2 linked regions of the Arabidopsis thaliana genome follow. The protein of the gene in region 1 interacts with the protein of each later gene in a biochemical or structural test. Each region holds a gene or a part of one and is shown on either strand. Other genes may lie near its edges.

Region 1 (3,758 bases):
GTCTCATTACCACACAAAAACAAGGGAACATAGTAGGTGATCGGGTATATCTATATATATGTACATTAAATAACAATTTTTTGTATCATCGGACCAAGCTTGTGACGGTGAACAATTGAAATGAATGGAGTATAGAATAATTGTGATTAATAATTGAAAACACATAAAATAACATGATTTGTTAGATCTTGATTAATACTATAATAGAAAGAAGAGAAGTGTGACAACACATGGGATGTACCCAACAACACAAGGGACAGCTTCACCAGTCTGATTTATGCCACTGTCCCGTTCTTGTCCTCCCTCTGCCCCACCACTCCTTTGTTTTATTTCATCAGTAATAATACTACTAATTTTAGTTAGTGTTTAGATTAATCATAATGCAATAAACAAAGAAAAATATCTGATTTTTGGTAGAAAAACATACCAGCAGCTCATATACTATTAGTTCATATTTTTAACCGATAGTTGATTGTTAAAAAGAATGTTGATTCAAGAATTTTGTAAGAATTGCAACATTGTTGAACAACAGTGGCAAAACATACCATAAACTAATAGATACTAGTAACTATGATCACTGATCAAATAATGTATAAATCGGAGATTATTCTATGTAACATTTAACAAAAGTGTATTACAAGTAAATAAAGAATAAACTTTTTAAGTTACGAATGGTAAAAAACTAAAGAAATTTGTTAGTTCTCTGTTTGTATGCATGCATTGTCTCTCTGCTAAAATGTTCATGACAAGTCCACATCTACTCAAATACTCATCGAGGTGATTATCCTCGTCGTCGCTTTTATACACATGTAATATTACACACATCTATACATGGAGTATATTTTTAGCGAACGGATAGGTGCCATGTGGAGGTAAGTACACGTCGCCACTTGTGAGATTCTGTTCCAATTACTTGTGGAAGTGAATTATGTCGCAGAAAAAGTTTGACGAGATTTCCAATTAGCCACTCATTTATTAACGGTCACCAAAAGCATCAAATTACAGTTTTTTTTAGTGCTTTGAGATTCTTTTCCCTGACATATTGTTTTATGTAAAATAGCAAACTCGAAAAGATAGTAATAGTATCCAAATTATTATTATTACAGTATTATTTTTGATAAAAGGTTGTTATTCTTTTTTTATTTTTTTATTTATTGTATCTATTATATAATTCGAAACTGCTATATTGTTTGTCTTTAGTTTGCATCTCTAGCTTTATATATGCTTATGAAGTTTCAAATGTTGCTATTATATGCTGCTGATTCTTTTTTTCTTATGTAGGAGTATAGGTTTGACCGTTTGACAATACGAGAGGAAGAGGAAGTTGGGAAAAAACGACGCCGCATGGATAGTCTCGCTCGTTGCACGAATAGTTCAAAAGGTGACGTTAGGCGCGTGCGGGTCAGCGAAACTTGTGCCTAGTCAGACCTTTGTGGTATAGTCTTACGTGGTCTACGTCTGCCAAATTTCAGAAAACCAAAAAAACAATTATATGTTTGGTCCCTAGAAATAAATATTATCGTCGTTTAGCAAGTTTGAAGTAAGCAATAGTAGTATTAATGTATAAAAAGTGTAGGATATTAGGTTAAAATAGGCCTGTGATAGATACCGTAATGTCTATGATGTGTCTGGTCAGACCCATTTAATATTGGTTCAGACCATATTAGCACATTAGCCAATTGCCATTCACGTTGGGTCCAAACCTTCTTCCTTCTATAGTGTCTTAGACAAGTACGTACACACGCTGAAGTACAAATCATATACAAGTATTTATTCACTTAAAGGTACAATGATTGATGTTTTTTGTGTAACATGTTCCTCTAGTCCACTATATTAATCCATTACGGAGAGAACTATCTAAAAATTGTATAATCGCAATTGTAAATTGCAAATCTATTAACAAAACTAAGATGTGTTCACATGCATACTTCGATAAACATTCTTCCATATATCTTTTGTGTTAAGGCATGTTTTAAATGATCAAATCACATATTGATTTTATTTGAAAGTATATCAATATAATAAACTGTTTAGAAGATGTTTTGCCAAAAAAGAAAAAGATGTTTTGTTCTTCTTGGAAGTGTTTGTTAAAGCCCAAGAGAGACTTCAAGCTCACAATTTCTCAAAGATCCATTAATACTGGGCCTTAGTTAGATATACCAAGCCCATATACTTTCTCTTCACAAATTCCCGTTCTAATACCGGCGCGTCGTGAAATCTAGAGATTTTGCCGTCACCAGAATATGTTAATAAACGCAGGAGGAGATAAATGGATAAACCCAAAAACTGACAAGTGAAAACCTTTTGAAGCCAAAACCCCCTTCAAAATCAAGCTCCATGATAGAAAACCCTCTTCCTACATAATCTCCTGGTAAAACAAAAAGGTTAGTCTTTTTCTCCTCAACTTCGAGTGTGAAGCGTTTGTAAAAATGCCCAAAAAAATCGTACCTTGTTATGGACAATTTGTTGTATCAGGTTCTTCTTATCTGGGTTTTATGTTTTGTACTAGTTTGAAACTGATTCTGAGCATAATTGAATCGGTTGTTTTTGTAAATGATACAGTGAGAAGTAGAAAGAGTGTAAATGGCGTCAATATCAACCACCACCTGGCTCTACCGAGGTCAAGTATGCACAGACAGTGGAAAGTCCAGTAATTGTATTGTGCAGGTTGGTTCTTACACATCAAGTTTCTTGTTCTGATCCAAACTTATCTAATTTAGAGATAGTGAACATTTTAGCTTGTTTCAAGATGTCAAACTGGTAAAAGTTTGTTTATGTATGTAGAGACGGGTTAAATGTGGGTTTCCACTCAAGACATTGCATGCTGGGATTACTTCTAGGGATCGGTCTTTGCGACATTGTATCAAATGCAAGAAAGAGGATGGAGATGGTGATGTAAGTGAAGGGTCTAAGAAGAGTGAAGAAGGATTTGAGTATGTGACTGTTGAGAGGCATCCTTACCATAGTTATATGGATTCAACTTCTGGGAAGCTTGAGCCAGCGTCCGGGGCTCGGGCTAGTATTCCAGGTGAGGATTATTGGCCTGAAGGAACTTCGAGCCGGGTTAGAGCTGCTAGAGCTCCTCAACCAGCTGGTGAGTCTTCGAGTTTTCCTTCCTATGGAAAGAATCCTGGAAGTAGGAGAAAGAAGAATAGGAAAGCTACTGAGGAGAATGTGACTGTTGAAACGAATGACGAAGTATCCGATTCTGAGGATAGCTCTGAAGAAGAGGAAAATGATTCCTCGGATGGGTTTGTTACCTATAAGAATGAATTTGAGAGAGAAGAAGAGGAGACTGGTTTTGAATTAGACAAAAAGCTTGGAAGGCCACATCCTTTCATTGATCCTACGAAAAAGAAACAAATTGAAAAGACACTCACGAGCGATGAATCGTGGTGGAACTGGAGGAAACCGGAGAAAGAACAATGGTCAAGATGGCAAAGAAGACGTCCTGATGTTGAAACGGTTAGTCATCACAATGATTTCAGGTTTAAACATGTGTGTGTTTCCCCAATGTTTGATCCATTATGGTATTTTTTTTTGTTGTTGATGCAGGTTTTCCTCAAGGCAATGGCAGAAACAGGACAAGTGAAGCTCTATGGGGAAGAACCAACACTCACAGAAACTTCTCTTTATAGAGCAAGAAGGCATCTTTTCAAGGAAGAGAGGTATATTGATCTAACGAACTTTCAAGTGAAAATCTGTTTTATTAGGATTTTCTTTCGAGTTTTCTTTCTCTCAGGCTGCAAGCTGAGCGA
Region 2 (3,758 bases), on another chromosome or scaffold:
TCAAGGGATGTGATAAAACTTTAATTAACGTTGAAGAATGATACTTAGCTGGACTTAACATTTTAGTGTCTGGTCTTTGTAAATGATACTCAAAATTGATATTCTGAATGTTAAAGAATGATACTCAAAATTTGAGTGTCTGATCAAAACTTTTTTTTTTACTTCCCAGACAAACTCACCAAAGAAAAAAAGACATTGAACTTTAGAGTTTAATTAAGCTAACAAATGGATCTATAAATTCGTGAATGTGTATTTCAGGAGTGCACAAAGAATATAAAAATATTTTGCAATCTTGACTAATAAAAGTTCTTCTATTCAATAATAACTTTCGAAATTTCTATTCTACAAGAAGTGAGATTTGAATATCCTTGTATGGACCTTCAGAGCTATAATCATCACAAGGTCGGCGGCGGGAGCAGATCGGAGAGACGGAAAAGGCGGAGAGGAAAAAGGCGAGCGGCGGAATTGAAATTCAGATTGAAAACTATAATATAACGAAGAACTTCATGATCCCCTCAGTTTTTGTTATTTCTTATCCACATACTTCTCCGCCGCTTCTAGCCTTTCATTCCTACCACCATCCGTCTACTTCCATCGCCGCCACCGCCGCCTGAATGTTTCAGAACGGTCTCTTATAGAGTTAGGGTTTTGACGTTTTGTTCGGCCCTTTTCTCTGATAAATTTGTATTTTTCGGACTAAACTGGGCCGTATCTTAGGCCCAATAACGCATCTCCACAACACAGTACAATATCTGTTATATGACATGACTTAAAACTTTTGGGCCTTTTCTGATAAATTCAATTTGCTAATGTCATTCTATTTAATGTGATGTTATCTTCATCCTATGAATATGCATATTCATAAATATTTAATGTATGTATATGGTTCCTTAATCAATGATGATTGATAGATTCGTTCCTTCGTCGAAATCTAATGTATATGCATAGAATTAATTCATATATCGGTTTAGAAGATGATGGAATTAATTATCCAACTAGGCGACGACTTATATGTCGACATGAGTTATAAATTCAAATACAACGACATCATTTGAGTCAAATGCAAACAAAAATTATAAGAAAAATAAAATAGCAATCGAAGGGTTTTGGGGTTTTATGATTTATGGCTGGCATCTGTGTAACCGTGTTCCTCTTTGCTTGATTGGGATAACAACGTTTTACATGTATCGTCCACGACGAACGAATCTATCTATCAACTTAATTCATCCAACTAGCAAATAGCAACTTGCATACAAAATAATTTATCAAAAAAAAAAAAAACTTGCATACGGAAGAAAAAGTGTTATTATTCAGCAATTTTCACTAAACTACTCATATTTAAATTCCATATTTTGCACTAAATTACTATTTCTATGGCTGGAAACAAAAACTGAGTTACTTGGCTCATGGCCTTCTATAGCCTTGAATGGACGCTATTACGACCTCGTCTCTTTCGTGGAAAAAGCAAATGAGGGCCAAAGACTTTTAAAGGGAAATGTCTCCTTTCGGTGGATGCTTTCTTCACAAATGCACCCACTATATATGTCTGTCTGTCTACTTGTAAGTTGCAATGTAATATATTCATGAATTTATCATACTAATAATATGTTTGTTTATCATTAGATCGGTAGGGGTTATGCACATTAAACGATAAGATTGATGTGATAAGGGTTAGAAACTGATCTACTGTTAAATTATTGTGATAAGGATCGGAAATTAATGTGATCATAATTTTGGTGGACCATTGTTTGTCTGTGGTCCATGACAAACAAGTCACAACGGTCCACGGTTTATTACGACATTGTGAATTTGTGATTGCATATTTAGGTTCAAAACTGTTATTAATATCCAAAATTTTGTGTATAATTAATAAATTCCAAATTCACAATCAACTAAAAGTTATATGTATAAACTTGCAGTTGTTTAGAGAATGATAATAACACAAAAACTTACGATGGTAGCTTTAACTAGTCAACACGTGAAATAAATGCGATGTGGAAATTTGCCGGGGGAAAAAATGATGACTTCTCAAGATTATTTCCGCTCGGGTTTTAATGAGACTCTGACATGAAATTGAATTCAGATGATTATAAAACGGTTCATATATTCATATAGTAGATGATGATATAAACTCATCGAAGCATCGTAGAAAATAGAGAACTTCAATTTGTTTTTTGTTTACCATTATTAGAGATACTATTCGCTGAAAGAGAAGCATAAGAGGGGTGTTATGATTTGACAAAAACACCCTTAATCATTGGTCAAGACTCAAAGAGTGTTGCAGATAAGGTACAGATCAGAAACCCACCTCTAGAAATCGAGCAATAGATCTCTCTCAACTTCACAGACAAAATCCAACCGAGTTGGTGGGTCTCACTAACTCTTTAACTAGTTGTCTGACAATTCGCCACGTGTCGGTCATCCTGATCAGTTTCAGTACTATTGCCCCCACCGAATCATTATCTCCCCCTCGCTCACTCGCTTACTTACCGTAATAATCTCTCTGCTTCCCTCCTCTAGCTCTTGTCCCTTTCTGTCTGAACCTGGCAAGAAGAACCTTAGCCTCTCTTTCTTCTTTCTCTCTCTCTCTCTCTGTGTTACTGTTCTGTTTCAACTTTACTCCCTCAGTTTCAGAACAATTCCCTATCTAGAAGAGAGATAAAACCGAGAAGGTTTTGGAGATAGAATCTTTTGTTCTTCTTTTGTCCCTCCTTGCTCGATTTTTGTTACGTGTGAAGCAATAAAAAAAAACTGATATAGCTAAATCTTCCATCCATTCAGAGGCTTCTAAATCTGGTAATTACTTTTATAGCTTCCCCTTAGTAAGAGTTTACTATATATAGAATTAGTTGCTTTATTAAATCATTTCCTCCTAGATTGTTGGAGAGGGTTGTTTGGTTTAATTATTTTCTAATCATTAAACTGTTGGGATTTCGAATAATCTTTTCTAAGTTGATTGCTTTCATCATCCTTTTTCCTCAAATCTCCTGTTAATCATTATACTAATTATGAATCAAATCATTTCTTATTCACTTACAAAAAAGTAATATATTCTTTATTTAAGTGTCTTTACAGATCTGACATGGAACAAGTGTTTGCTGATTGGAATTTTGAAGATAATTTTCACATGTCCACTAATAAAAGATCAATCAGGTATATATCAATTTTCCAATTCAAGTATTTCATAATTATATACCAATTTCACATCTTAATCATAGCTATTTAAGTATTGTTTGTTTAAAATATGTTTGTAAACATTCATATGTTGGGACAGACCAGAAGATGAATTAGTGGAGCTATTGTGGAGAGATGGTCAAGTGGTTTTACAAAGCCAAGCTCGTAGAGAACCGTCAGTCCAAGTCCAAACCCACAAACAAGAAACCCTAAGAAAACCCAACAATATTTTTCTTGACAACCAAGAAACAGTACAAAAGCCTAACTACGCTGCTCTAGATGATCAAGAAACCGTCTCCTGGATACAATACCCTCCGGATGACGTCATCGACCCTTTCGAATCCGAGTTCTCCTCTCATTTCTTCTCTTCGATCGATCACCTCGGAGGTCCTGAGAAGCCACGAACGATCGAAGAGACAGTTAAGCATGAGGCTCAAGCCATGGCTCCTCCTAAGTTTAGATCCTCGGTTATAACAGTCGGACCGAGTCATTGCGGCAGCAACCAGTCAACAAATATTCATCAGGCCACTACACTTCCGGTTTCTATGAGTGATAGAAGCAAGAACGTCGAAGAAAGACTTGAC

What was found. Proteins that work in one complex are often made in the same cells at the same time.
Region 2: the proteins of PTAC12 (region 1) and PIL6 form a complex in vitro, tested with the Arabidopsis thaliana proteins (one study listed by BioGRID).

What each region holds. Positions count from the first base shown.
Region 1 is NC_003071.7:14,583,171-14,586,928, reverse strand, and holds the start of PTAC12 (plastid transcriptionally active 12), read left to right. Parts: upstream 1-2,131; 5' UTR 2,132-2,384; intron 2,385-2,562; 5' UTR 2,563-2,583; coding exon 2,584-2,667; intron 2,668-2,784; coding exon 2,785-3,465; intron 3,466-3,555; coding exon 3,556-3,668; intron 3,669-3,742; coding exon 3,743-3,758. UniProt on the Arabidopsis thaliana protein: Involved in plastid gene expression. Acidic transcriptional coactivator necessary for the transactivation of many PIFs target genes (class B genes), particularly during the regulation of hypocotyl growth.
Region 2 is NC_003074.8:21,829,220-21,832,977, reverse strand, and holds the start of PIL6 (phytochrome interacting factor 3-like 6), read left to right. Parts: upstream 1-2,140; 5' UTR 2,141-2,796; exon of another isoform or gene 2,797-3,075; 5' UTR 3,076-3,082; coding exon 3,083-3,153; intron 3,154-3,274; coding exon 3,275-3,758. Other genes in the region: AT3G59070 (Cytochrome b561/ferric reductase transmembrane with DOMON related domain-containing protein), read left to right, coding at 420-614. UniProt on the Arabidopsis thaliana protein: Transcription factor acting negatively in the phytochrome B signaling pathway to promote the shade-avoidance response. Regulates PHYB abundance at the post-transcriptional level, possibly via the ubiquitin-proteasome pathway.